7 linked regions of the Cricetulus griseus genome follow. The protein of the gene in region 2 interacts with the protein of the main gene of each other region in a biochemical or structural test. Links are inferred from orthologs where the notes say so. Each region holds a gene or a part of one and is shown on either strand. Other genes may lie near its edges.

What was found.
Region 1: the proteins of Trim21 (region 2) and Ube2d1 form a complex in vitro, tested with the Homo sapiens proteins (3 studies listed by BioGRID). The link is inferred for Cricetulus griseus from reciprocal best matches to the Homo sapiens genes TRIM21 and UBE2D1.
Region 3: the proteins of Trim21 (region 2) and Sqstm1 form a complex in vitro, tested with the Homo sapiens proteins (2 studies listed by BioGRID, with this or other methods). The link is inferred for Cricetulus griseus from reciprocal best matches to the Homo sapiens genes TRIM21 and SQSTM1.
Region 4: of the proteins of Trim21 (region 2) and Ikbkb, one has a biochemical effect on the other in vitro, tested with the Homo sapiens proteins (2 studies listed by BioGRID). The link is inferred for Cricetulus griseus from reciprocal best matches to the Homo sapiens genes TRIM21 and IKBKB.
Region 5: the proteins of Trim21 (region 2) and Ube2w are reported together in a solved structure, tested with the Homo sapiens proteins (2 studies listed by BioGRID, with this or other methods). The link is inferred for Cricetulus griseus from reciprocal best matches to the Homo sapiens genes TRIM21 and UBE2W.
Region 6: the proteins of Trim21 (region 2) and Ube2n form a complex in vitro, tested with the Homo sapiens proteins (3 studies listed by BioGRID, with this or other methods). The link is inferred for Cricetulus griseus from reciprocal best matches to the Homo sapiens genes TRIM21 and UBE2N.
Region 7: the proteins of Trim21 (region 2) and Ube2d2 form a complex in vitro, tested with the Homo sapiens proteins (10 studies listed by BioGRID). The link is inferred for Cricetulus griseus from reciprocal best matches to the Homo sapiens genes TRIM21 and UBE2D2.

Annotation. Positions count from the first base shown.
Region 1 is NW_023276806.1:266,581,901-266,585,400, reverse strand, and holds part of Ube2d1 (ubiquitin-conjugating enzyme E2 D1), read right to left. Parts: intron 1,865-3,500; coding exon 1,787-1,864; intron 611-1,786; coding exon 505-610; intron 1-504.
Region 2 is NC_048596.1:96,819,911-96,824,181, reverse strand, and holds the start of Trim21 (E3 ubiquitin-protein ligase TRIM21), read right to left. Parts: upstream 2,801-4,271; 5' UTR 2,668-2,800; intron 1,402-2,667; coding exon 1,006-1,401; intron 649-1,005; coding exon 553-648; intron 1-552. UniProt on the Homo sapiens protein: E3 ubiquitin-protein ligase whose activity is dependent on E2 enzymes, UBE2D1, UBE2D2, UBE2E1 and UBE2E2.
Region 3 is NC_048600.1:64,663,554-64,667,053, reverse strand, and holds part of Sqstm1 (sequestosome-1), read left to right. Parts: coding exon 1-186; intron 187-279; coding exon 280-421; intron 422-1,441; coding exon 1,442-1,522; intron 1,523-3,500. UniProt on the Homo sapiens protein: Molecular adapter required for selective macroautophagy (aggrephagy) by acting as a bridge between polyubiquitinated proteins and autophagosomes.
Region 4 is NW_023276807.1:61,017,970-61,021,469, reverse strand, and holds part of Ikbkb (inhibitor of nuclear factor kappa-B kinase subunit beta), read right to left. Parts: intron 2,539-3,500; coding exon 2,431-2,538; intron 1-2,430.
Region 5 is NC_048595.1:144,389,840-144,393,937, reverse strand, and holds the start of Ube2w (ubiquitin-conjugating enzyme E2 W), read right to left. Parts: upstream 2,801-4,098; 5' UTR 2,780-2,800; coding exon 2,678-2,779; intron 1-2,677. UniProt on the Homo sapiens protein: Accepts ubiquitin from the E1 complex and catalyzes its covalent attachment to other proteins.
Region 6 is NW_023276806.1:161,533,208-161,536,552, reverse strand, and holds the end of Ube2n (ubiquitin-conjugating enzyme E2 N), read right to left. Parts: intron 2,459-3,345; coding exon 2,212-2,458; intron 2,048-2,211; coding exon 1,907-2,047; intron 1,321-1,906; coding exon 1,280-1,320; 3' UTR 501-1,279; downstream 1-500. UniProt on the Homo sapiens protein: The UBE2V1-UBE2N and UBE2V2-UBE2N heterodimers catalyze the synthesis of non-canonical 'Lys-63'-linked polyubiquitin chains. This type of polyubiquitination does not lead to protein degradation by the proteasome.
Region 7 is NC_048595.1:201,744,477-201,748,439, forward strand, and holds the start of Ube2d2 (ubiquitin-conjugating enzyme E2 D2), read right to left. Parts: upstream 2,801-3,963; 5' UTR 2,692-2,800; coding exon 2,668-2,691; intron 1-2,667.

The sequences.
Region 1 (3,500 bases), on a different chromosome or scaffold from region 2:
AATACGAATTATTTTTTAGTCAAAAGCCACAGCACCACTGATAGTCATTGAGTACGTGGCAGCCAGCCATTTCTTTAAGTGAGAAGGACTTAGCAGCTTGTGGCAAATGAGAGCCATTTTGGGACACCATTCCAAGAAGAACTATAGTAATCTGAATAATTATAGACAGAATCTTTCCTTTATTCACTTTATGGTAAATTCACTGCTGAAAAAAAATTTTTTTTTTTTATTTCTGAGTCAGAGTTTCTCTGTGTAATAGTTCTGGATGTCCTTGAACTCCCTTTTTGTTTAGATTTGGCCATTCACTCATTTCTCCCAATCCCAGAGTTTACTAAAAGCCAGAATGACCGAAGAGTTACTAGAGAAAACAAAACAAAAATAGTAAGCACTGAGGGTTGAGGCATCTGTTTTGTTTGTCTGGACTTCGGTTTTTGTTTAAACTCTGGTCCCTAGACATTGTACAGTCCTCTCCATGCCTATTTTAAATCTGATAAATGAAATTACCTTTCGATACAGTCAAAGCTGGTGACCACTGGGACCGCAGGATGTCAAGACAAATACTTCCATTACTGTTTATATTTGGGTGGTAGATTTTTGTCGTGAAAGCAATCTACACATAAAACAGAACAACAACAACAAAAAGGTTGATCGTCACAAGCGATGAACAAGCAGAACCAATCCACTCAAGGGAGAAATGTGCTCAACTTTACACAGCTTTGGAACAGAAACATCTACATGCAGGTCCGCTATTGGGAATTTGAAGGAGACTCAGTTTAACCTCCTTTTCTCCTCCAGGTGCTGGGACGTATCTTGGGTGTAATGAGGATGTCTGCAATCACTGGGGTGACTGGCACTTGGACCAGCTGCTCTGGCTTTCATTACACCTCCAAATACTCTTCTTAACCAGCCTGTGAGTAACACCCAGCAGGCCACCTGGATCTATAAACAGGTCACCGAGTCCGTCAGAGCAGAAGTGAGATGATCACCCGTCCTGTAAAACCCACTGAGCATCTGAATTCCGACAAGAGTCACTGTTGTGTGATGTCATCCATAGGATTTTAAACTCAGTGTTTTAAAAATGCTACAATTATTTCCATAGCAGCAAATATATGTTTGTTTTCCCTCCTTCACACCCCCCCCCCATCACTTGTTTCTTCTTTGGCCTTTAAACCTTGGAGAATGTCTTTTCATTCCCTGCTGCCATTCAGTGTGCTTCATTTGTGGTTCCCATCATGCAGGGACGTAGTGGATGGTCAATGTATGTTCACTGAACACTTCAAGAGAGAAAACAGGGTCCTCTTTGGAAGGATAACACTGTGGACAGGAAAGTCTGTCCACAGACTATAGATTCTCAGACTATAAAAACATTCCAGACTACACATATCTCATAAGGAGGAAAAGCCCATGAGCCTAACTTGTAGCCACTGCAACCTTTTGTTTAACAGGCAAAGGAAACTACTTGACTAAGAAAGAGTATTTTAGCCAGGCAGTGGTGGTGCATTCCTTTAATCCCAGCACTCAGGAGGCAGAGGCAGGAGGAGCTCTGTGAGTTCAAGGCCAGCCTGGCCTACAGATCGAACTCCAGAATAGGCTCCAAATTCCAAAGCTACACAGAGGAGCTCTGTCTCGGAAAACAAACAAACAAACAAACAAAAAACAAGAGTATTTTAGATCTGGAAGTTGTACAAAGGACCTTGTACTAGCTAACCTGTGATATCATGAGCCTGTCTCTAGACAAACAGTGAGAACCCCTGCTATGGGATGCATCAGCCACAGAAATAAATACCTTTGGTGGTTTAAAGGGATAGTCTGTCGGGAAGTGGACAGTGAGGAAGAAGACTCCGCCTTGATACGCACTGTCAGGCTGCAATGAACAACAGGCGCATCAGTGTCCGGCCACAACATGTACACAAGACTGAATGTTCCCCCCCAGGTGTTGACAGTGTGAAAGAGAGGGTCACATCTTCTATACGATGCTGTCTGATGCTTGTAAAAAATGTAATCCTTGCACCAGATGTTTGAGTAATTTACCTGAGAGCAGGCTCCTTTCCAGGAATGAAGTTTTCCGAGGTGCCCACAGAGTTTAAAGAGAAGCAGACATGCATATAACAGTATGGTTTTAACCAAACAGGTCATTTACGGGGACCAGTGTAGACACAAGGACTGCTGTGAGGAAAGGTAACTTTCTAGAGCAGTCACCAGTATTTTTTAAAGGTTATGACTAATATTTACCTTGTTTCTTTTAGATTTCCAATGTCCACTTAAATATGGCCAAAGGGAATAATTTAGTAAGAAGGTTACACACAATTTATTCTCAATATTCAATTGCTAGTACTTTATATTGTACAATGTAAAACTCTAAAACCAAGTTGGATGAATTCAGGATTCATGGTAGATTGGATTAAGTATTATCAACTTTACCAAAGGAATTCAAGTTTGGTCACCTCCTGAGTGGCCACACACACACACACACACACACACACACACACACACACACACGATTAAAGGAAAGAAAATAGTAGCAAAATAAAATACCCCAAATTCCATTTTAATTCCTTCATATTTACTGGGCTGCACCATGGGTAATAAAAGCAACTCTTGTCATTCTTTCCCTGCTTAAAGTTCTGCATAAAAATCAGAGCACTGTATTAAATAATTATTCTTACTGTGTTGCTTAATTCTAGTTTGGTAAATGTTTTAAAAAGTAAACAAACAACAAAGATAAGCATGGTAGTAAATGTAAAAAAAATAGAAACAAATTATAAAGATAAGCGTGGGCAACGCGGACAGCAAGTGCTATTATAGAGGGTGGTGGAATGTGTTTGTGGTCCAGAAATAAGAGAGGTGTGCAAAACAACGTCACAATTGCTTACTACACATGATTCACCTGAGAATTACCATGGAGGCCCCAGCTCCAACGGTGAGGCATGCCTTTAGATGACAGGACTTGGAAGGTTCAGAGCAGATAAGCAGATAATGAACACCAAGCAGAAGGAACTAGCTTCTTAGGGAAAGCTGTTAAGTAAATATATTGCATTTTCCCCTCTCACATAACAACTTAATAGAATAATTTAGTCATTTAGGATAATTCCTCAGAGACTTTTCTTTGAAATTCAGCATTTTTTTTTTTTTTTTCAGCTTGGATCCGAGGGCAAATGATTGAAAACTGCATGACTCAGTAGATAAACGGCCCCAGGGGAAGTATGTATGGCATTCAGGAAGGCTAGCGTGTTCTCATCCAGAAAGGAGACTGGAGTAGATAGAGTATCTGCCTACTCGTTCACAATTAGCATTTCGTCCATAGAAAGAAAAGCCTGTTTCAAACCATCGATGCTCCTCAGGTGTAGGAAGAAATACAGACAACAAAGAGGGGCCAGTTTAAGGCAGCTCAGAAAACTCAAAAGGTGACAAAGACCACCCACAACGGGACTCCTTCACTTCTGCAGTCAAGAGTCACAACGAGACCCATTGCAAGCTGATGTTGGCCCAGTGTAGCAACT
Region 2 (4,271 bases):
GGGGTCTGTGATTGCTCTGAGCCCCTTACACTCCTTGTCAATTTCAGATGTATCCTTTTTTCTCCTGGCAAATTACCAATGCGACAGACTTTAATTCTTTACCAGGCTTTGCACTAATAGCCTGGTCATCATTAAGCAGCCACCGAGTCAGGTGGGCCTCCTACCTCAGACTTACATAGATCCTTTCCGGCTGTTCCCTCCCCTCTTTGTCATGTCTAAAGGGTGCAGGAGTTGGGATTTTCTCACAGGATACCTCAGACCTGTTATCACAAGACCGTCATTCACCGAGACAGGGTCAGAAGGGATGGTGTGACCTTCTTAGACTTTCTGCAGTAATTCTTGAACTTTGTGACAGATTGGGGGAAATCTCATCTGATTTTAAGCTTCCTTCCTTCTTTCTTTCTTAAATTCTTCTCTGTCTAGAGATATAGTGTGGATGGTCCTTGGGGAGTGACCTATATAACAATTCTCCCACCCCTTGGATAGGCACAGTCATAGTTAATGCTTGCTTGAGATCAAGACCTGGGACCCAGCCTATCCCCGGGTTCTTGCCTTCCAGTCTGTTCTTTGCATTGCAAGATCCATTTCCAGCTTCTCGGCGAATTCTTTCCCTTTCCTCAGTTTTTCTAAAGCCACGAGGAGCTTCTCCTGTAGAAAAAGGTGGTAGGTTAGTCCCCAGATAGAGATGTGGAAGAGGGGAATGGGAAGACTTTGGGGGAAACCTAGTATGTCTTACAAAACAGAGCGACACTGATGGGGAATGGGATCTGGTCATTACATTTCTAATTCACCAGGAAGCCAGAGGAAGCATAATCCACGCACATCCCACGGCATAGTCTCGGCTCCTGAGAAATAAGCTTGTATTTGATGCACAAGTTCCTCTCAATGAGAAACTACCCTCCATTCCCCTGTAAGGATGACTCTCAGTCACTATGCTGGGGAGCGGAGCATTCTTCATGGAGCACCTTCTTTATATCTATGGGTGTCTCTGTGCTAGAGCCTCACCTGGTATACCCGAGCAGCTTCTTCAATAGGGACCTTGGTGTGGTCAAGGTGTTTCCCAGACTGGGCACACACCCAGCAAAGGGCCTGCCCATCTTCCTCACAGAACACTAGAAGTTTCTCTCCATGCTTCATGCAGCGGTCTTCCTGGGTGTCCTTATTGGCATCCCCGGCTGTTTGTTTAAGGTCTTCTACCATGTTGGCTATACGTCGAATGGGCCTGAGGTTTCTGAGCAGAAACTGTTGCCGGCACTCGGGACATATACCGCCACCATTTTTCCCGACCTCAGAAATGCATTCCTTGCAGAAGCAATGGCCACATTCGATACTCATAGGCTCCACCATGGAGTCCAGACAGATAGAGCAGATGACATTTTCCCACATCTTTTCCAGAGCCATCTTGGAGGATTTTGAGTGCAGAGGAGGAGGGAAGAGATAAATGAAAGTTTGCATGACAAAAGCAAAAGCAAGACAATACCAAAAGTTCCCAAAACAATGCAAAGGAAAACATGTGAGAAAATGACACAGGAGAAGGAAACAAATGAAGGCAAGAGTATCAACCTGCACAACAGCAGCCTCTCCTCCCTAGTCTGACCCATTGATCTAGTCAGGCAGAAGGGGAAACTGAGTTTCCAGAAGAAACATTGGAAAGTGGCGGGGATAATGCTGTTAATAATTCCAGCTCATCATATCCATCCCTGCTTTAACCCTCAGTGTCCAGACTTCTCTCACACACTTTCTCTCATCTTGCGCCTCCATGGCGCGGAGAGTGACCATTTACCATATGCCATATTTACCAAGCACCCTCCATATTCCAACTGGGTGCTACATTGCTTATGTCCGTCTTCATTAATCTTGACAATAACTGCAGGAGTAAGGAGTCAAAGGTTTACGAAGTTATTCGTTACATGAGATATTTTGGTCAAATATGATGATGAATAATAGGCTATATCATAGGTTCATGGAAGTATACTTCAAGGTGTGTGTTCATTATGGCATCATCTAAGGGTACATTTCCCAGTCATTAGGGTTGCATGTGTATGTATTTATGTATATACATATATATACATAGCTGTTTTTTATCCTAATATGTTCTTATTTATAAAATATACTTGAGCACAAATGCATCAATGTAGGTGTGTCCACATGTTCTCCTATATGAATGTTTATGTACATATGTGAATATGTGTACTTATCCATACACATTTGTGGAGAGCAGTTGCCAGGCTTTTCTCTAAGACTATCCAAACCTAGTACCTGTCTTAACTTCCTTTAGGGCGCTGAGAGTCTTAAATCTACATAAATTTTCAGTAGAGCATTCTAAATGGCTAGTACTCACCTCCAGCAGAGGTCTTCAAGGGACAGGAGTTTCCCTGAGCTCCCCTCTGGGCTAGCTCACAGCCTGCTTTTCCCACCTTTACTAGCCCCCTCGTCTCAGCTCAGGCACCAGTCACTAAACAGCCCCTTCCAGGCAGGGCACCGGGAAAGTCACTTTCAGAGCCCCGCTTCCACAGGCCTGTGTGGGCAGCCAGCCAGGGCTGGAACTAGAGAACACTGCTGAAAAGAAGCAGCAGGTGCGCCGGCAGGTTCGGGTGGGAGTCGCAGGTGGGAAGGGGCGGAGGAGAGAGCACTCCTAGGTGGGTCGGGGATCCCAGCCTCACTCACCTTAGCAGGGTCCTCAGCATGGGCTACGGGTGAGCTCCCAGTGTGGCTTTCACAAGCCTGCTCCCTAAATTTCACTTTCAGTTTCCTCTCAGAGGCTAGTCTAGAAGGAAGCGGGAGGAGCAAGGGGAGGAGCGGAGAGTTGAACGGCTAGGGGAGGACTCAAGCAGAGAAGGCGGAGACTGGGTGGAGCGTGTGAGAGAGAGGTCAAAGGTGCTAGAAGCTGCCGACTGCTAGCCTGCTAGCCGCAGGCACAGGTGGAGGAAACTGCCTTGCTGCCTTCGTTCTCTCTGAGGCCTCCTGGTCTTATTTAACAATGTAATCTACACGATATCGATGTGTTGCCTTTGACAAGGGTCTTCACCTCACACCTGGGAGCATCTGGGAGAAGGGGTCCGGAAGGAGAGGATTCACTATCTGCTTGCTCCATCCAGTAATGGATTCCTTCTCACAAGACTGGTAGTTCTTTAAAATCTGGGGTGATCAGTCCTCCTTCTCTGCAACTGGATTTCAGTTCAGTTCAAGGTTTAGCTGTGGCTGTCTGCTTCTACTTCCACCAGCTGCTGGATGAAGGCTATAGGATGGAATACAAGTTAGTCATCAATCTCATTATCAGGGGAGGGCATTTAAGGTAGCCTCTCCTCTTTTGCTTAGATTGTTAGTTGTTGTCATCTTTGTAGCTCTCCAGACATTTCCCTAGTGCCTGATTTCTCTTTAAACCTATGTCTCCCTCTATTATATTATCTCTTATCTTGCTCTCTTCTGTTCTTCCCTCAACTCAACCTCCCTGCCAAAGGGGTCCATACCAGAATGGTAAAACCCACAGAAACAGTTGACCTGAACAAGGCAGAGCTCCTGGTCCCCAGACTGATAGCTGGGAAACCAGCATGGGATTGATCCAGAGCCCCTGAACGTGGTGTCAGTGAGGAGACCTTGGAAATCTATGGGACCTCTTGCAGTGCATCAGTACTTATTGCTACCATAGGAATGGACTTTAGGAGCCCATCCCACATGGAGGAATACTCCCTGAGCCTAGACACAAGGGGGTTGGCCCAGGCCCTATCCCAAAGAATAAGACAGACTTTGAAGACCCCCTATGAAAGGCCTCACACTCCCTTGGGAGCAGAAAGGGTATGGGATAGGTAGGGTGTTAGTTGTGGGGTGGGGGGGTGAGAGGCAGAGGGGAGGGAAAGGGACCTGGGATTGACATGTAAAATAATTTTCTTTCTAATTAAAATAAAAAGAAAAACAAAACAAAAAATAAAATCTGGGGTGAAAGATCCTGTCATTGTTTTAATTAGCATATATTAATTATACAGTGTACTTTAATTATACTCTTTTCCCATCTCTCTATCTTCCAATTTTGCTCCCCTCTTCTCAGATGGTCTGGGGTGAGAAATTTATTCCTTAGATGTCTAGGTAGGTGCTGTACCAATGAAGGGAGTTGAGATTGTGAGCATCAACTGTATTATACTTGCGCTAAAAAGCATTGGTTGAATTTTCCTTTGACATTTATTATATTTAGGAAACATAAAATATCAAATACTTTGAAATTTCTAGTCCTATTTAAGAGAGATTTTTTTTTTCAGCCAAAGGCCCACCAGGCG
Region 3 (3,500 bases), on a different chromosome or scaffold from region 2:
GAGGCATCCCGAAGCATGGTGCACCCCAATGTGATTTGTGATGGTTGCAACGGGCCTGTGGTGGGAACTCGCTACAAGTGCAGTGTGTGCCCAGACTACGACCTGTGCAGTGTCTGCGAGGGGAAGGGCCTACACAGGGAGCACAGCAAGCTCATCTTTCCTAACCCCTTTGGCCACCTCTCTGATGTGAGCTGGTTCTTTGAAGTCCTGGGGGCTACAGGGTAGTGGGACCTGAAAACCCTTACCCCTCACTGCCCTGCCTTGTTTTCTCCTGCCCAGGGCTTCTCTCATGGCCGCTGGCTTCGGAAGCTGAAGCATGGACATTTTGGTTGGCCTGGTTGGGAGATGGGTCCACCGGGGAACTGGAGCCCACGTCCTCCTAGAGCAGGGGATGCTCGCCCTTGCCCCACAGCTGAGTCAGGTAAGGCTGGTATTTGAAATGACTTTGGGTGTCATAAGTAGCCAGCCAACTCAGGTGGGCCGTTGGCCAAGTCGTCCCCATAGCCTAAAGTCCAGCGTTGCCCACAGTAAGCTGTGCACTACACATCCCTTTCTTTTTTGTTGTTTTTTGGGGGATATAGGGGACCTTGCACATAATACATACGGGTTCCATCATTCTGCTACACTCTGTCCTTATCCATGTTATCAGAGCCTCTTCAGAACCCTGTAGACACAATGCATTTCCATTTTACAAGTGAGTAAACAGGTGTCTGAGTGCCTAAGGCCACTATTTTCCCTACAGGGCCCACCCTACCTACCCTGCCTGCTAGGCTGCCCATCTGAGGTATGAGTAGGTAGCTGTGTTTCTAGTTTTGGGAATATCAGGGCCAAAGTTGCTCAAATCTTTAAAAGACAAAACCAAAGAACTATTGTTATAAAGCCATTTGTGGTGGCATATAAAATCTCAGGACTCAGGAGGCAGAGGCAGAATGATCAGGAATTCAAGACCAACCTTGGCATAAGACCCTGTCTCCAAAACCTGCAAGAACTCACCTAGCTCTGCAGTCTAGATTTGGGATTCAGCGTCTTGATTTTTCTTTTTTTCTTGAGACAAGGTCTCTTTGTGGCCCTCACTATGTAGCCCAAGATGGCCTTTAACTTGAGATTCTCCTGCCTCAACCTCAATGAGTGCTTGGATTGCAGACATGTTCCAGAATAGCCAGCTGGAATATTTGTTTGATTCTGAGTAAACAGCATATCTAGGACAAGGTCAATATTTATATATTAGCTGTACTGAGCCTCTGGTACAGAGGCCAGAGAGACCTAACATGTGATCCACTGGGGAACCAAGGGTGCAGTGTGGAAAGGAAGAGAAGCACCAAGTGCGGTCAAGGGGTCTCAGGACAGTGATTATCTAGGTGATGGGGACCTTGACACAAAAGTTCTGTGATAGATGGCAGAGTCACAGAAAGGTCATCTTTCTTTTTGTAAAACTCAACAGCTTCTGGTCCGTCAGAGGATCCCAGTGTCAATTTCCTGAAGAGCGTGGGGGAGAGTGTGGCAGCTGCTCTCAGCCCTCTAGGTGAGTGAGCTTCCTGGTCATCCTGCACGACACCCCAGTGGCTTGGTGACTCAGTGTACAAATGGCCTTTTGGCAACCTTTTCTGGCACACTGCAGAGGCCAGGGCAGATGTGCGCTTGACACCAGCAAGGTTGTTGCGTAAAATTAACCTTTGCTGAGGACTGGAATGGAGCCTCAAGGTTGAATTTATGACTAATTCTTGAGCTTTCCACACAAAATAGAATGAGCCAGTGGGGAGGGTGCTATATTGGCAAATGGGCTAGCCTTTGGGGTAACAACAGCTTGCCTTTTTCTGAGCAGAGTCAGTTTTAGCCTTAAAAGCAAGCAGTTCATTTCTTTTTCCTTTTCCTTTTCCTTTCCCTTTTCTTTTCCTCTCTTTCTTTCTTTCTTTCTTTCTTTTTTTTTTTTAAGGCAAGGTTTCATGTTAGCCCAGGTTGGCCAAGAACTTTATGTAGTCCAGGCCGGCCTTGAACTTATAGAATTCCTCCTTCCTTGGCCTGCCAAGTGCTGGGATTTCTTTTCCCTCTCATTTGAGAACCTCAAATCTTTGTGAGAGCAGGGAGAAGGTGCTAGCAGCAAGTGCTCTGGGTCATGCCTAGCTCTGCAGAGGGCAGAGGAAGTCTGTTGGGGTGGGGGAGCACAGTGTCACCTCTCAATACTGTGGCCCTATGTACTGTCTTTGGGGCATACTGGTTTGGTTTAGGAAGTGCTTGCCCACATCCTGTTCCTGTGTCTGCAGTGTTGGGAGGTGACCGCAGGAGTCTGTGCAAAGGCCATGCCCAGTACTGAAGGAATGCTGATGAGGGGGGTGTCCCAACCCCACCAGTCTCTCCTCCTTTTTAGCTACTAGGTATCACCACCACTTGCTGCAAGCCAAGGCCATCTCTGCTCATGCTGTTCCAGGATGCAGCTGTGAGGCAACAGTGACATCCTGGCCTTTCGGTTAAGTTGAACATCTTAGGTTGAGATGTGGTATAGCTCTGTGGTAGAGTGTTAGACTGCAGTTCTTTGCACACAAAAAAAGCAAGTACAGACAAAGCAGTTTGGTCAGACCACATGGTTTTGGCATTGCAGTAAGAGGCTTTTGAGAGAGCCAGGCTCGTTGCTTTCCAAGGAGGTTGAAGTGGTACAGCAGCAATCGGATTGTAGCAGGGAGAAAAAGAGCTCACTTTGGGATATAGTGGGGTTCTGGAAGATTGTAGTTCAGTTGTGAAAGATTGTCTTCATCCAAAGGTGAACTTTTAGAGGCTGCTAGCAGCTTCTCTGGAAGACATGTCAATGTATGGTAGTCCTTTTGTGTGATGGAGACAAGGATCCCCAGCAAGGGTTGCTTTGGAATGTGTTTGTTAAGTTAATGTGTGTGTGCACACTCATGCAGGCATTTGCATTCTTAGTGCCCAAGGGAGCTAGAAGAGAGTATTGAGACCCTCTGGAGCTGGAGTTGTAGGCAGTGGTGAGCTGCCTGATGTGGGTGCTGGGAACCAAACTGTGGGCCCTTAGCAAGAGCAGCAATTGCTCTTACCCACTGAAACATGTCTCTAGTCCTGAGAGTGTGTATTTTGGCATGTGAAAACCTGGTCACTTTGAAAAGTGAGAGTCCTTCAGTAGACAGATGAGAGAGTAGGGATTCAGCAGTCTCAATTCCTAGCCCATCCTTGGTCATGATGATGCTTTTGACTTCTGTGGGATGCTTCCCAGATTGTTCTGGGTCTCACTAGCTAACAGCAAGCAATGCTGGTGGCTGGTGTACCAGGACCACTGACTGGGGTCTTTGTTTGGGAGAATAGGCATTATTTTGCAGTGTTTGAGGACATCTGGGAGGATAAAGACCTTTGAAGTATGTTGAGTTGCTAAGTAGTAGACTATCTGGAGCTGGACAGGACGGCAGAGTTTCTAGAAAAAGACTGAGTAGTTTGAGCTGAGGATTGATTGGCTTCAACTTTTATGGAAGTCATGGGAGTTTTCCTTCCCTTTTTCT
Region 4 (3,500 bases), on a different chromosome or scaffold from region 2:
TTTAACTCAGCCAGGTGTTGGTGGCGCACGCCTTTAATCCCAGCACTCGGGAGGCAGAGGCAGGCGGATCTCTGTGAGTTTGAGGCCAGTCTGGTCTCCAGAGTGAGTGCCAGGATAGGCTCCAAAGCTACACAGAGAAACCCTGTCTCGAAAAACAAAAAAAAAAAAAAAAAAAAAGATTTAACTTTTCATGTAAAAATAGAAGCATACATATTTCATTAATCATATTAATATATAAATTTAATATCTATGTATTTAATATCTGTCTTTAATAAGATCTAATACTTGTCTTTAATGGTAAAACTATATACACCAAAAAATTTAAAAATGAATAAATTTCTTTATAATTTATTATCAGTAGATGTTTTATTTATATACTTTGTTTATATATACTTCATATACTTTTATATATTTATATATACTTTATATAGTCTATATTTACATATCTGGGGTAATATGAACATTTCTTGGGCACAAAGTTATCCCAAATGCAAGATTTTGTTTTTGTTTTTGTTTTTTGTTTTTTGTTTTTGAGACAGGGTCTCACTATGTAGTCCTGGATGCTGACTGTCCTGGATACTCACTATGGAGACTAGGCTGGCCTTGAGCTCACAGAGATCCTCTTGCCTCTGCCTCTCCCTCCCCAGTGCTGGGATTAAAGGTGTGCTTTATCATGCTGGGCTCCAAGCAGAAGTTTTAAGTAGCCCTGGTCTGGACCCTGAGCTGCTTGCTGATTTAAGAGCATCTAATGGATATGTACATGCCAATGTTCAAAATCCTCCTGCTGTCCCACACTAGGCTCCTGTGCTCCACCCTGCCCACTTAGGCTCCATGCTGCTTCCACACTGCCCCCTTAGGGGCAACCCCGTGTGCCTCTATAATCCTCCCTGTTGAACCAGCTCTCCTTCATCTGTCCATGTCTTCTCTAACTCTTCCCATCCCTCCTCCCTGCAACTATAGCACAGCCAATGTTACTCCACACTGCTGTAATCCATAGGGCTCCCTCCCCTGTCCCCAAATATGTGAGTAAAGTCACCAACCTGGAGTTTTCTTTTATATTATGACCCAATTCTGATTCACTAATTAAGTGCTTATATTCTAGCTCTAAGCCTAGACCACAGTGCCATTCAAACCTTAAAGGTTTGTTTGTTTAGGCCAGACAAGGAACACAAAGAGGAATAAGGTATAATCCCTACCCTTAAATGACTTCCTGTGGAATAAGACAAACTCTATGCTGAAGTGGATATACTTCAAAGTAGATATCTGTCATAGTTTCAGCTGCCAATGTCAAACCCAGGGTCACCCGGGAAAAGGGAACCTTAAATGAACTGCCTTGAAAAGGTTGGCTGGTAGCCATATCTATGAGCCATTTTCTTACTTGTTAATTGATACAGTGGGGGTTATGGGGGCTAGCCTACTGTGGGCAGTGCCATTCCCTAAACAGGGGGACCTGGGCTGTATAAGAAAGCAGGTTGAGTTGGGGGTGGCGGTACACACCTTTAATTCCAGCACTCAGGAGGCAGAGGCAAGAAGATCTTTGAGTTTAAGGACAGTCTGGTCTACAAAGTGAGTTCCAGGACAGCTAGGGCTATACACCTGAAGGGAGGGGAGGAGAGAGAGAGAGACAGAGAGAGAGAGAGACAGAGAGAGAGAGACAGAGAGAGAGACAGAGAGAGAGAGACAGAGACAGAGACAGACAGAGACAGACAGCTAGGGCTATAAACCCTGAAGGGAGGGGAGGAGAGAGAGAGAGAGAGAGAGAGAGAGAGAGAGAGAGAGAGAGAGAGAGAGAGAGAGTGCAGGCTGAGTAAGCCAGAGGGAACAAGGGAATAAGCAGTATCCTCCATGGTTCTGTTTCAGTTTCTACTCTGGGTTCCTGCTTTGAGTTCTTGTCTTAGCTTCCCTTGAAAACAATAAGATATACAAGTAAATTGCTATGTGAATTTAGCAAAGAGATGGTTTGGGAATGAAGCTCACTGGTAGAGCACTTGCACTGCATAAATGAAGACATGGATTTCATCTCCATAGCAAAAACCAACCAACCAATTAACAACAAAAAGATTCTAGGGAGACCAGATACAAGAATCCATTCTATGTCTGAAGTTGATCTGGATTGGTCAAGTGCTCAATCATAGGATGGTATTCTGTTATCCATTCAAACGTTATCAAAGGGTCTGAAGATAGCTCGGTGGTTAACAGCACTGGCTGCTCTTGCCTAGGACCTAGGTTTGGTTCCCATGATCCACACATGGCAGCTCACAACTGTCTACAACTCCAGTTTCAGGGGATCTGATCCCTCTTCTGGCTTCCACAGGTACCAGTCTCTCAAGCATATACAACTAAAACAAACAAATGTATCAGATGTCACCTCAAACCTGTATTTCTAAAGAGAAGAAAAATAAACAGGACACGAATGCCCGGTGGCCATACCTGTTAAGATTATTGGGGAAGGGTAAAGAGCTGGAAAACTTCACTGTTCCATTCAAATCTTCACTGACAACAATGTCCACTTCACTCTTCTGCCGGACTTTGGAATGCCTGTAAATGCCATTTTAAGATGTCCTTTATGTCACTCAGTGGCAAATACCCAGTTTACATCTGTAACCTCACTTTACAACTGCATACTTGTTGAAATAACGGTGAGTATGCCGACAGGTTTGTGAATGGTCTGTGTGGTTAGGGGTTTAGCTCAGCGGCAGTGAGTCCCCTTAGCATGAAATAAAACACAGTATGTGTCTGGTGCTGCCTAAACAGAGGTGAAAGGACACCTCCAGCAAGGCCACTCATCAGCTCGTGTCCCAGTTCTACAGGCAGCACTGTTGACCTCTGTCTCACCTTGATTATTGCTTTTACCCTTCTTTACCTCATCTTTACCCTCATAAAGAAGGGTAGATTATTGCATCTACCCTTCTTTAACCTCATTTTAAAAGACTTATTTTCAACTACACGTGTGTGTGGACAGACATGTGACTTCTGTGAGCTGCCTGATGTGGGTACTGAGAATCAAACCCAGGTCCTCTGGAAGAGCAGCCAGTGCTCTTAACCTCTGAGCCATCTCTCATGTTTTGGTAAAGGATAAAACCAGGGTTCTGAACTAGTGTCACTTTGTACACATCACATTTATTTGAAATGTAAAATATACACACATGTACATGGCTACATTTTTAAAATTACATCTATTTATTTGCACACATATGTGTGTGCTCATGTACATGTATGCACACCCTCCTCTCTGTGGCATGCATGCCTGGGGCATCAGAGGACAACTTAAGGGAACTGGTTCTCTCCTCCTACGGCTGGGGCTCCAGAGACAGAACTCAGGTTGTCAAGCTTGGTGACATGTGCCTCTACCAATTAGCTACCAAGTAAGGTAAGGGAGGCCCACACTTCCCTTTACAAGTATGTGGCTAAGCATTTTTTCTAGAATAAATGATCTTCATATTTCCCAATGGAGGGACTTTCCAAAGGTATTTGAGGGAGTGCTGGAAAGGGAAAAATTG
Region 5 (4,098 bases), on a different chromosome or scaffold from region 2:
AGCAAAAAAGATAAAAAAACACATAAAAACAATCTGGACAGTGGTGGCACACACCTTTAGTCCCAGCACCTGTGAGGCAGAGGCAGGCAGACAGCTGAGTTAAGAGGACAGCCTGGCCTACAGAGTGAGTTCCAGAACAGCCAAACCAAAAAGATGATTGACTGATAGACAGACAGACAGACAGATAATTATAACCTCAGCTTTAAATTTCATATCCTCTAGTAAGAAACTGAAAGACCGCCCTAACTTGATTTTATTGCATATAAAAATTATTCCATTGCTATCAAGTGATCAAATCCCACATTACATGTGCACAGTATGGCTTGTTTTTAAAATACAGCTCCGACTGCAGCATAAGTAATCTCTTCTTCAGCAATAATAATAACCCCCTGTAGTAAGATATGGAAATCTTATCTAAAAATACTTGCTGAGTTAATGAACACCTTTGATTACTTACATTGTTGTGTTTGTTTTGAAAAGAGCTAATTCCTGCTGTGAAAATGGTCAGGAAATAAACTTTGTACAAAGATACAGAAATAAAAAGAAAACACACCAAAGTGTCCTTCAAAGAGTCTGCTACGGAGCTGGAGAGATAACTCAGTGGTTAAGAGCAAGAACAACTCTTGCAGAGGAGCCTGGTTTGGTTCCCAGCACCACACATCTGGCAACTGGAAAGCACCTGTTACAACTCTAGCTCCAGTCAATCAGAAATGGCCTACACAGACACCTGCATTCACATGCACACACCCACACCATAAAAATAAATCTTCCTCAAATGTTATTTCCCGAAAAAAATTATCAGATAATTTGAAATACATACAAAAGGCCAAGATTTAACCTTAATTGAAACAGAAAGGGTCAGTTCCCCATGCTAATCAGAAGACAAAGGAATGAAAGCCTGGTGCTAGAGTCTAAGGTAGTGATTGAGGCTCAGATCAGGCATAAAAGGCATTTTCCCCACTATTGAAGACACAGAGTGAATACCAAATATCCATCTCTCTTATATACAAACCTGCTTTTTCCAAATACTTGAAGTGTAGTAAAAGTTAACCAGCTCTCCTGCCAACGCCAAATACAATCCCAAGTGTGTGGATTTTAATCTTTATTTTTAGTCTTAAATCATGCCTGTTATCTTAAGACAGCTCATCTTCGAAAGGTCATAATAAACAATGTCTTAATACCGATAAAAATGTTAAAGCAATCATATAGCCCATCTGCTGTCCAACTGGTGCTCCACAGTTCCGTTTTTGGCCTCAGATGACGAAACTTCTCTAACGTCTCTGGGGAGAGTGTAAAGTATAACGTTTCCTGAAATTGTTCTTGTTTTTGCTGCACCATTTCGTGACATCTCTTCAACTAGAAATGTTACTTGCAGTTTTATTGTTCTGCAGGAGAAGCCAGAGGGACACGCAAAGGCAAAAGCAGAGTATTTTAAGGAAAGCAGGTTGAAAGACACAGTGAAAAGGGGGGAAAATGCGCAAGAATGAAAAACATTTCCAGCACAGAGAAGCGCCAACAACGGGATCTTGCTTATTCTTCTAGAAACAAAAGCCAAAAATTCTTCTAAGGAAAATGTGGTTTCTCTCTTTACTCAAGAGGGTGTAAAACTCCAAAAGGCGTTCCGCTGACTCTCTACACAAGAGTTCTACCCGCTCTCCTTATGTGCTTTAACACGCTAACCCTATCTGTACATTAAACGCCAGCTACAGATAATGCAATCTCTACAAACTACAACTGTAGTTGCCATCTTTGCCTGGGGAAAAAAAAAAAAGATTTTTTTTCTTGGATTTGGAAGGGGGAAAAAAGGAGTACATTAAGTTGGAAGGCAAGAAAACCACCATCAAGAGATTGATAGGGCACGGGTTAACAGGCACCTTCTACCAAACTAAGGTTTTAAAGGTCTGGGGAAGAAGGGCAAAGCCTTACCGAGTCCGCAAGGGTGGGGCATCCTAAGGGAAAAAAAATATATTAAGAGCGAGTTTCTCCAGAGGCCGAGGAGCAGGCCCACGAGCTCGCACCCAGGGTGGCACAGGACGCTGGGGACGCGGGCGAAGGGCGGCTTCGAAGGAGACGTGGGCTGCCGGGGAATGCCCCAGAGTGCGGGCTGACAGAAGGAGGCACCCACGGGGCACGGGATGAAGATCGAAGAAGAGCTAGCAAGGGCCGTGCGTTCCGAGGCTGCGCGTGGGAGGCCGGGCAAAGGCCGCGGAGGGCCGTGGGCAAGCGGCCGTCCTCGGCGAGGCGCTCCCCGGCTGCCCCGCGTTCTGCCAGTCTCGGGCCGCTCGGACCGCGGGCGACGGCGGCGGGCACAGCTGTTTCCACCCCGCCGGGGAGCGCAGGGGGAGGGGAGAGAGGAAAGCATCTCCCCCGTGGCCTGGGAGCCAAGCAGCGGCCGTCCTCGAGCGGGGGCGCGGAGCGGAGCCCCCACCGCGGAGCGCACGCCGAACTTCGCCCTTTCTTCCCCTCAGCCGCCTTTATGCCACAACTTCGCGGCCGCGACTGTCCGCGGCCACCGGCCGACACCCCCGCTCCGCTCGCCGACCGGTGATCCCCGACGCTCTGGGGTCAGGGAAGGCCACCGGGAGCCTGGGCCGCGGCCCCGGACGCCGCCCCCGCGCCGACGCTCGCCCCGTCTCGGCGGCCCCCACGCCCGCCCCGCTGCAGCAGCTCCGCTCACCTGCATTGACGCCATGATGAAACCATCCCCCCAAGGCCAGCGAGGCCAGAGACGCAGGGGGCGGAGCCGCCGTGCTCGCGTCACGCCGCGGGGGCCCAACATCCCGGGCACGGGGTGGAGTCGCCGATGGGAAGGGGCCGGCACGTCCGATTGGCTGTGGCGCGGGCGCCCGGGGGCGTGACGGGGCGGGGCGTGGTGGGGCGGGGCGGGGCGCCTTGGGTACCTCTCATCCCAGCCAGTTTACACGCTGGCCCACCCTCGCTACTGGGTGAGGCGCAGCTCAGGTTCGAACCGCAGCAGTACTCCCTAGATCATGAAGCTGTCTGGATGCGCGAATTTTTTGGTTGTTTTTATTTTCTTTTGGTCTCATTCTGTTTTCCTAGCTACAGGTGTAAGATTTGTAGTTTTTTAAATTTATTTTTTAATCCCCCTTTGTATGCCTTTTCTACACCTACAGCTCTTCTTCTGAGCCAGATAAAACTTCGCGGGGGGGGGGGAGGTGCTCTCTAGTCTTTGCAGATCCAGGAGGCTATTTCTAATTTGGGGGTTGGGGGGAGGAACAGAGAGTCACAAATTTCCTTATAGAACAGAATGAAAACTGAGAGCAGGGCAACGCTGTCATCTTAAAGGCAAGAGCAACTAGATTTTTTGTGCTGAAATGTAGTGGGAAGGGAAGGAGAAAGAATAATGTTTTCTTTTGTGTGAGATTTTCTAGCTTCCTTACCCAACCATCTAAATTGCAAACTCCATGTGTATCATAGTAGTCGTTGTTACATCAGTCTATTTGATTAGCGATTTGACTCTAGCCACAAATTCTCATATATTAGCTCACGTTGTGCCATGTCTACATTTCTCTTCAGCCAATTCTGTGGTGGGCAGTTTTGTGATCAGCCAACCTATGAATGAGTTTGGGCAGGAAACACTGAGCATACAGAATTTATTCTAGGCATGCACCAGTTCTGCCAACATTTATCAGAAGTCACATTTTTAAAGCTCTTCCAGAACCAAAGATGTCTTTTGGTTTATAAAAGAAAAAATGGAAGGCTAAAGCTTGCACCTCCTGTCCTATCTCTAAAAGAGTCAAGGAGGCTGGCATGTCGAGTAGATAGATGGCTTTTGCTTTACCCGAAAGTTTAAATCTTTCTTTTTATTGACTTGCCTTCTTTTTTAGACATTTCTCTACGATAGATATAAATATAATGGCAATGTAGAATATCACTCTTCACACTTAAGATAGATCACGATGTTCTCTGGGAACATCCGCAAGGAAATGTGTTCACAAAAGGAAAAAGATCTTTAAAATATGCAGTTATTCTATGGCATAATGTTAACACAGTTTATCTTTACCAAAGAGAAACCTTTTTTGGTATTCTTCCCTCTCTAAGATGTCACCCTATTACCAGAAATGGTTTTTTCCCCTT
Region 6 (3,345 bases), on a different chromosome or scaffold from region 2:
GAGGGATAAAAGCACAGGAAACTGAAGAGCTGATAATCCCTTGTTAAGCCTGTTGCTTGGGATTTGTTCACTGGGTCTACAAGGAGGATTCAAAACTGCCTCCACAAACCTCAACTGGTTTCCTAATGGCACAAACAATCAGGTTTTCAGACAAGAACCAAGTCATAACTTACAATCTGAGGCTCAAATGTGGACATGTGAAAGTCCCGTATAAGGACATCTACCTGTCCTTTTTATTTTGACCGTTGGGTGTGATCAACTTTCAAACATTATGGCAAGACACCAATGATCACCTAATTAAATCAGGTAACATTTATTTAAAATTTCTAGGAGGGAAAAAAAAAAAAAAAAAAAAAACAGATACTGATGCTTCATGCATGCTCCGAGCCAGTTTATAAATACTCACTCAGTAAAATCCTAACACAAATCTGCATCAATGAAACAAACTGGTGAAATTCTCCTCTTGCCAATCAATTTGTCAGATGGAGAGGACCAAAACAGAATGTTCCATCAGTTTTAATTTTAAATACGATTGTCACATTGGGAAAGTGAAATAAACACAGTAAAATAAACTGTACAAAGGCAAAGTAGAATAACAAAAAATATTTTACTAAAACATAAGATTTACAGAAGTTTCCAGACAAGCCATACAAAATGGTCACAAGCTTTTTTCTTCTTTTGGGGGTGGGGCAGAGAATCTACACTTAACAGCAAAGTCACAATGTTATTAGTGAGGGCTGTGATGTTTATTTAATGTTCCCATTTTGGTTCAGACAATCAAGCTTGTCCATCTACAGCGTCTAAAGTTAGACTTGGCTAGAGAGCATATTCTAAAAAACTGGTTAGCTGCATTTAACCACGGCAATTAGATCCCAAAAGAGAGGGAGGGGGAAAGGAGACCATAAAATTAAAATAAAACTATTTTCCCCCTAAAAAATAAAATAAAAACACCCATACCCCTGGGCAGCTAACCCTGACAACTACCTTCATTCACAGTGCTTTGTACTTAAACCATGATGGGGAAACGAATCCAAGCAGAGTCACTGCTTTTAAACATTTCACAACAACCCAGATGATACTTCTAGCCTCTGCTCATGCTTTACAACAGTGAATCAGGACAAGACATAGATTTGCTAATGTGCATGTAATCACCAAAGATGAAGATGTCTGGGCTTTTATTCTGTAATGTTTCTAAGACTGTGTCCATTAAATGCAAACAAAAAAAGGAAGAGTCTTGGCAGAACAGGAGAAGTGATGTACACTTGATGATCTGATCGACTTAAATATTATTCATGGCATATAGCCTAGTCCATGCTCTCGCTGTAGGTAAAAACAAACATGCAACTGTTAGTTAACTCAGATTTCTTTTCAAAACCATAAACAACAAATAAACACATTTTGTGGAAATGCTAAGCTACACATACCCTCCTAAATTCACAATATCTCCTATAAACTGGATCAGATCACTTTTCTGAATATCTCATTACTAAAACAGTACAGCTGATTAGAAAGAGGTCTTGGTTTTTCTAAGGTTCGCACTATTTTGACCAGAATAGATTCAAACCTTTCATAAAATTCAACAAATGGAGATGGTTGTGTCTTTCACTTCTGAATAGACAATAACGTTCCTCATTTTGTTGTAACTGTCACAGGAAGAAGTTTGTGGATTCTATACTCTACAAACTGCTATGTACTTTAAATGAACCATAAAGACAGTATAAAACAATTTCAAGTTTTCTAGTCTCTTCACACACTGCTCATAAGCAGACAGTCATTGTTAGATCCATGTAGATCTAACCCACAGTGCAAGATCTCCTTTTCTAGATTACTTTTAATCTGAGCTCATAAAAAAAAGGGGGGGGTAAAGATTGTTTAGAAAAAAAGCAGGTAAAAGAATATGAAGTACCTGTTTCTATGGCTTGGGCTTCATTGGTCTTCCACTGCTCGGCTACATCATTTGCTAACGGATCATCTGGATTAGGAGCACTTAACAAAGCCTGGATTGATAGCAGAACTGTGCGAATCTGCAGTGCTGGGGACCACTTATCTATGAAGGTAACAGGCCCAGTATGATATGATAAAGCATGAAAAACAGGCCCAGAATGGTTGAACTTCCCTCCCACACACTGGTGTTAACATGAGATTACAATATTTACATTCTAAATATGGAATGCTTAAGACAGAAAGGACACATTAAGTGACAACACTTACCTTTCAAAATATCTAAACATATTCTTCCCAACTTGTCTACATTAGGATGATAAATTTTGGTCATGAAACGTACTTTAGGTGCTGCCATTGGGTATTCTTCTGGAAGGAATAGTTCAAGTTTAAAAGTCCCTCCCTCAAAGGGGGAATCCTGGGGGCCAGCAATGACCACATGAAAATAACGGGCGTTGCTCTCATCTGGTTCTGCTTTAATGCCAGGAACTGGTTCTGCCAGCAAACGCTGGGTTTCCTACAACAGAAAAATAAACACACTTGTGAAACAAATGTCATTTCACTAAACACCAAAGTTAAAATCAGATCTTTTTTAATTAGACATAAAAGAATCTCCCAGTGATAATTTAGCTAATCAAATGTAAAACTCGAAAAATGTTTATTTGACCTCCAAATAATGCCAAAATATGGCACACAAACATCCCCTTCACAAATAATAAATGCTTTAAAAAAAAAACTGTTTATGATGGGCATGGTGGTGCATGCCTTTAATTCCAACACTTGGGAGGCAGATGAAGATGTATCTCTGTGGCTTTGAGACCAGCCTTGTCTGCACAGTGAGTTCCAGGACAGCCAGGGCTATGTAGGGAGAACCTCTCAAAAGATATAGGGATGGGTGGGTGGGTGGGTGGATGGATGATACTGACAGACAGACATAATTATATTCATGTAAAAGGAAAGAAAAATGACACCAGGATTGCTGCAATACATTCTTTGTATTCAAGGGCAAACTAGGTCTAAAATACTAGGACATCAAAATCTCTGGATGCTCAAGTCTCTTACATAAAATAGTACAGTATTTATTTGTATTTAAAGTACAGAAATCTTCCTGTATATTTCAAACCATCTCTAGATGACTTGTAGTGCCTAATACAATGTGAGTGTTACAGACGGGCGTTGGTGGCTGTAAATCCCAGCACTTGGGAGGCAGAGGCAGGTGGATCTCTGTGAGTTCGAGACCAGCCTGGTCTACAAGAGCAAGTTACAGGACAGCCTCTAAAGCCACAGAGAAACCCTGTCTCGAAAAGCCAAAAACAAACAAAAAACAATGTGAATGTTTCGTACCTAAGACACAAATTAAGCACACACTTTCCTCTCATAGGATTTTTCCACCTGCTAACTATA
Region 7 (3,963 bases), on a different chromosome or scaffold from region 2:
ATAAATCTTTAAAAAAAAGTTTATTAAAACAAAACAGACATATGGTAGTGGCGAATGCCTTTATGCCCAGCTCTGGAGAGGCAGAAGCAGGCAGATTATCTGTGAATTCAAGGCCATCCTGGTCTGAGTCAAGGAGAAACCCTGTCTGGAAGAAGAAAAGTTCAATCCCCAGGACCCATGAAAAGGTGAAAGAATAGACTTCACAAAGTTATCCTCTAATTCGAGGATTATGGCTGAGACATACACAGACACCGACACACAGACACACCCCTTTAAATGTCAAATGATCATTTCTAAACCCGATTTCTTTTTTAAAGATTTGTAAGAACTGGGAATGTAGTTCAGTAGCAGAGTGTTTGCCTTAGCATACGTTAAGATCCTGAGTTCAATCCCTAGTACTATACAAAAAGATTTAGTGGTGGCAGGTGTGCTGGTACATGCCTGAATTCCAGTACTCAGGATCAACACCACCCTGAACTACACAGTGACAGCCTATCTCAAAAACAGAAGATATTGCTAGGGGCAGATGTTAATCTAAGATTTAAATATAGCCAGGTGGTGGTGGCGCATGCCTTTAATCCCAGTACTTGGGAGGCAGAGGCAGGAGGATCTCTGTGAGTTTGAGACCAGCCTGGTCTACAAGAGCTAGTTCCAGGACAGGCTCCAAAGCCACAGAGAAACCCTGTCTCGAAAAACCAAAAAAGATTTAAATGTGTGTTTTGAGTCAGTGTTATCTCCCTCTCTGAAGAAGTCTCTATAGCAGATATTAATACAAACACTAAAAGCCATTAATTTTCTAGTTTAATCTCAGCACTCTGAAGGCAGAAACAGTTTGAGGCCGGCCTGGTCTACACCATAGTAAGCTGCAAGCCAACAGAGCTAGGAAGACCCTACCTAAAAAAAAAAAAAAAAAAAAATTAAAACTATCGATGCAAATTATTATACATCAAACTCACATTCTCTCCCAGCCTTGGAGGACAATCTTCTATAGGTATATTTCAAACAGCATTTCAAATCAATAGCTTCCCATCAGACTCTATAAGACCCTATATTATATGACTGCTGAAGTCTTAGAAATACACCCACAGCGGCAGTGGCAGGTGCCTTTAATCCTAGCAGGAGGCAGGTAGATCTCTGTGAGTTCAAGGCCGGCTTGGTCTACAAAGAGAGTTCCAGGACAACCAGGGCTGCCACACATAGAAACCCTGTCTCGAAAAACAAAAACAAAAATACACACACATTACTTGGATGTTTATCCCTCACAAGGTTTTTCAAGGGTTTTCTTTTGTTTTGTTTTTTTTACTAAAGTTCATACTTCTTTTAGCAAAGACCCTGCTTCATCTTAGTACAAGACATACTGCTAAAGGCTATCCGTTGATTTCTAAGAAAGCAACGAAACCAAAAGTTGGTAAGGCGCTAATTCGAAGTAAGGAATGGAATTAATTCCACATTCCAAGCCTTGAATAAAGAGGGCCAATTGCTCAACTGTGGTATTCCATCTTTCAATCTGCATTTTGACTTCCTTCTCTATTCTTTGTATCCCCATCTCATCAGCCCGTATGGGTAATCCCAGGTCCCACCACTTACTAATAAGGTAAAGATTTAATATGGCCCACCTGAGGAGCCAAATAAAACACCAAACAAAACTCACAGTGGGCGACTTCTTACGTCCAAGGAAATATAGTGACACTAAGAGATTGGGGGGGGGGGTGAGAAACCCTAAAGTTTAAGCCAAGCCTATGCTCTCCTTGTAGTGTTAAATCTTATCAACAAATAAATGGATAACCTTTCACTTAAGACAACTAAAACTATTTCTACCCAAAAATAGAGTAAAATCCCTTCTAAATTAGGAGTCTTCTCGAATACACCATCTAATTTTAGCGTTAAAATCATTTTGGGAGAAGTCTGTGAAAGCAATTTCTCTGGCGGTTTTCAACGTTCGGTTTTCTGAACTGACTGGCTTCTACCCTATCAGGTAAACAGTTGTTCCACTAGGTCCAATCCTGCAAAACTGAAGTGTTAGTTTCCCACCCCACGAAATAAAACCCTTGTCCACTTAATTCCCTTCTCCCTCCGAAGTGGCATTTTCTTCCCTCTGACTTTCTACTCCAGTCTGTAGACCAGTAAGGTGGACTGAAGGGTGCAGCTAGCTGCCAAAGAGTTAAGTGAACTCAAGAAAACAGCCCGTGGGTCGGGCAAATGAGCCCTCTGGTCGGCTTGTCGAGGTCCTGGATCTCGGGCAGCTCAGCGAAGGGCGCCAGAGTAGGGGGACAGAGCTTGGACAACAGTCCTCCCGACCTCGGACCACAGGGGCCGCCCAACGCCCCAGCCGCTACCCCCTCCGCGCCCCCCCAAGTCCCTTCCCAGGCCGGACAATAGCCCTAGTGAGCAGCAAGTCCCAGGCCGGAGCGGGGCCTGGAAAGGCGTCGGGGAGGAAACTGCGAGGACCAGAGCAACTTCGGCCTAAGCAAGGTCCCCGCGCTCCAGCCTTCGCGGGCGCCATCTCTGGGAGTGGGGTGTGAAGGCCGCCCCGTGGGGCCGGCGCCGGCAGCGGGAACCAGACGCCGCGAGCCCAGTGGAGGCGACCGCGGGAAGTGCAGGCCGCAGCCTCCTCAGCGGGCTCGCCCAGCGGCCCATTCCCCCAGCAACACCCGGGCCGCTTCTTACCTTGTGGATTCTCTTCAGAGCCATGGTGGGAAACGGTGGCGACGGCCCCCGGGGCGGGGACGGGGACGGGGGAGGGACGGGGACGGGGCGAGGGGGCCTGAGACCGCCCGAGCGGTCGCGAGTCGGCCGGAGAAGACCGGGAGCTCCGAAGCGCGGATCCGACGAGCTGAGGGCCGAGGCCCACTCAGCGTCTGGGCCTGCCGCAGCGGTCACCGCATCACCCGGCGGCGGCCCCTTTATGCGCTGCTGCCACAGCCGCCGTAGCTGCCTCTTCCTCGTAGGCTCAGCGCCGCCTCCTCGGCCGCCGTGGATCCCTCCGCCGGGGAGGAAGAGCCCCAAGCTGCGAGCTCGCAGAGCGCCCGATGGCCACGGAGCCGGGGAAGCTCACTTTCCTGCCTGGTGCAGGTGGACTAAGAGACGCGCGGGCGGCGGGCGGCGCGCCGCCGGGGTGGGGCCGCCAGAGCGCGGGGTGGGCCCAGGCCGAGGGGCAGGTCGGGAGGCTCCGGGATTGGCGGGCCTGGGAGGGAGGGCCGGGCCGGGCCGGCGGCGGAGGGATACGGGCCGCCCCTGCGAGTACCTTACGCGCCGGCGCAGCCACGCCGCGGAGGGGATGACGTCGCGAGACACTGAGAGGAGATCTCGCGAGAGTTTACGCGCGGGTTCTAGATGCTCCTCCGCCAAGGCCGCAAATCAGCATCTGGTACCCTGTGCGCTTGGGGCTTCGAAGATCAATAAACGCTTAAAGGCACGTGTTTTCCACATTGTTTAGTCACCATCGGACTCGGAAGAGAGTACCTAATCCCGCTGCTACTTTCCTGAAAGAGAGAAGGACTTTTCCAAGGTCACACAACTCTTCATTTATTGGCAGGATTAGTACTACCAGATTGCACAGGGAGCCTTGAGACTGGCCGCCCCGTCCAAGCCATGACTCGATGTTCTCTCCACAGCCACCGGCGTGTTAGCCTTAGGAAATACGCCGTGGAGAATAAGAAAATATGGAGAGAATTTTTTGATAAGGTTACACAGCAGGTGGCTAAGTTGATCACCTCTCTTCGAGCACAAAGGTGGATCCCCCAAAGAGAAAATTGTAGCAAGTCACCCAGATTCTGTATGCTAGAATGAGGAGGAACAACATTATGGAGGCCCAGGTCTCTTTGAAATGTGATGAAAAATGCCTCCGTGTCAAATTTCTAATTTTTTTCTCAGTGATAACATTCTTGTACGTAAAAAGCAACTCCTTCCTTCCTTTATTGGTTTTTCGAGACAGGGTTTCTCTCTGTAGCTCTGGCTGTCCTG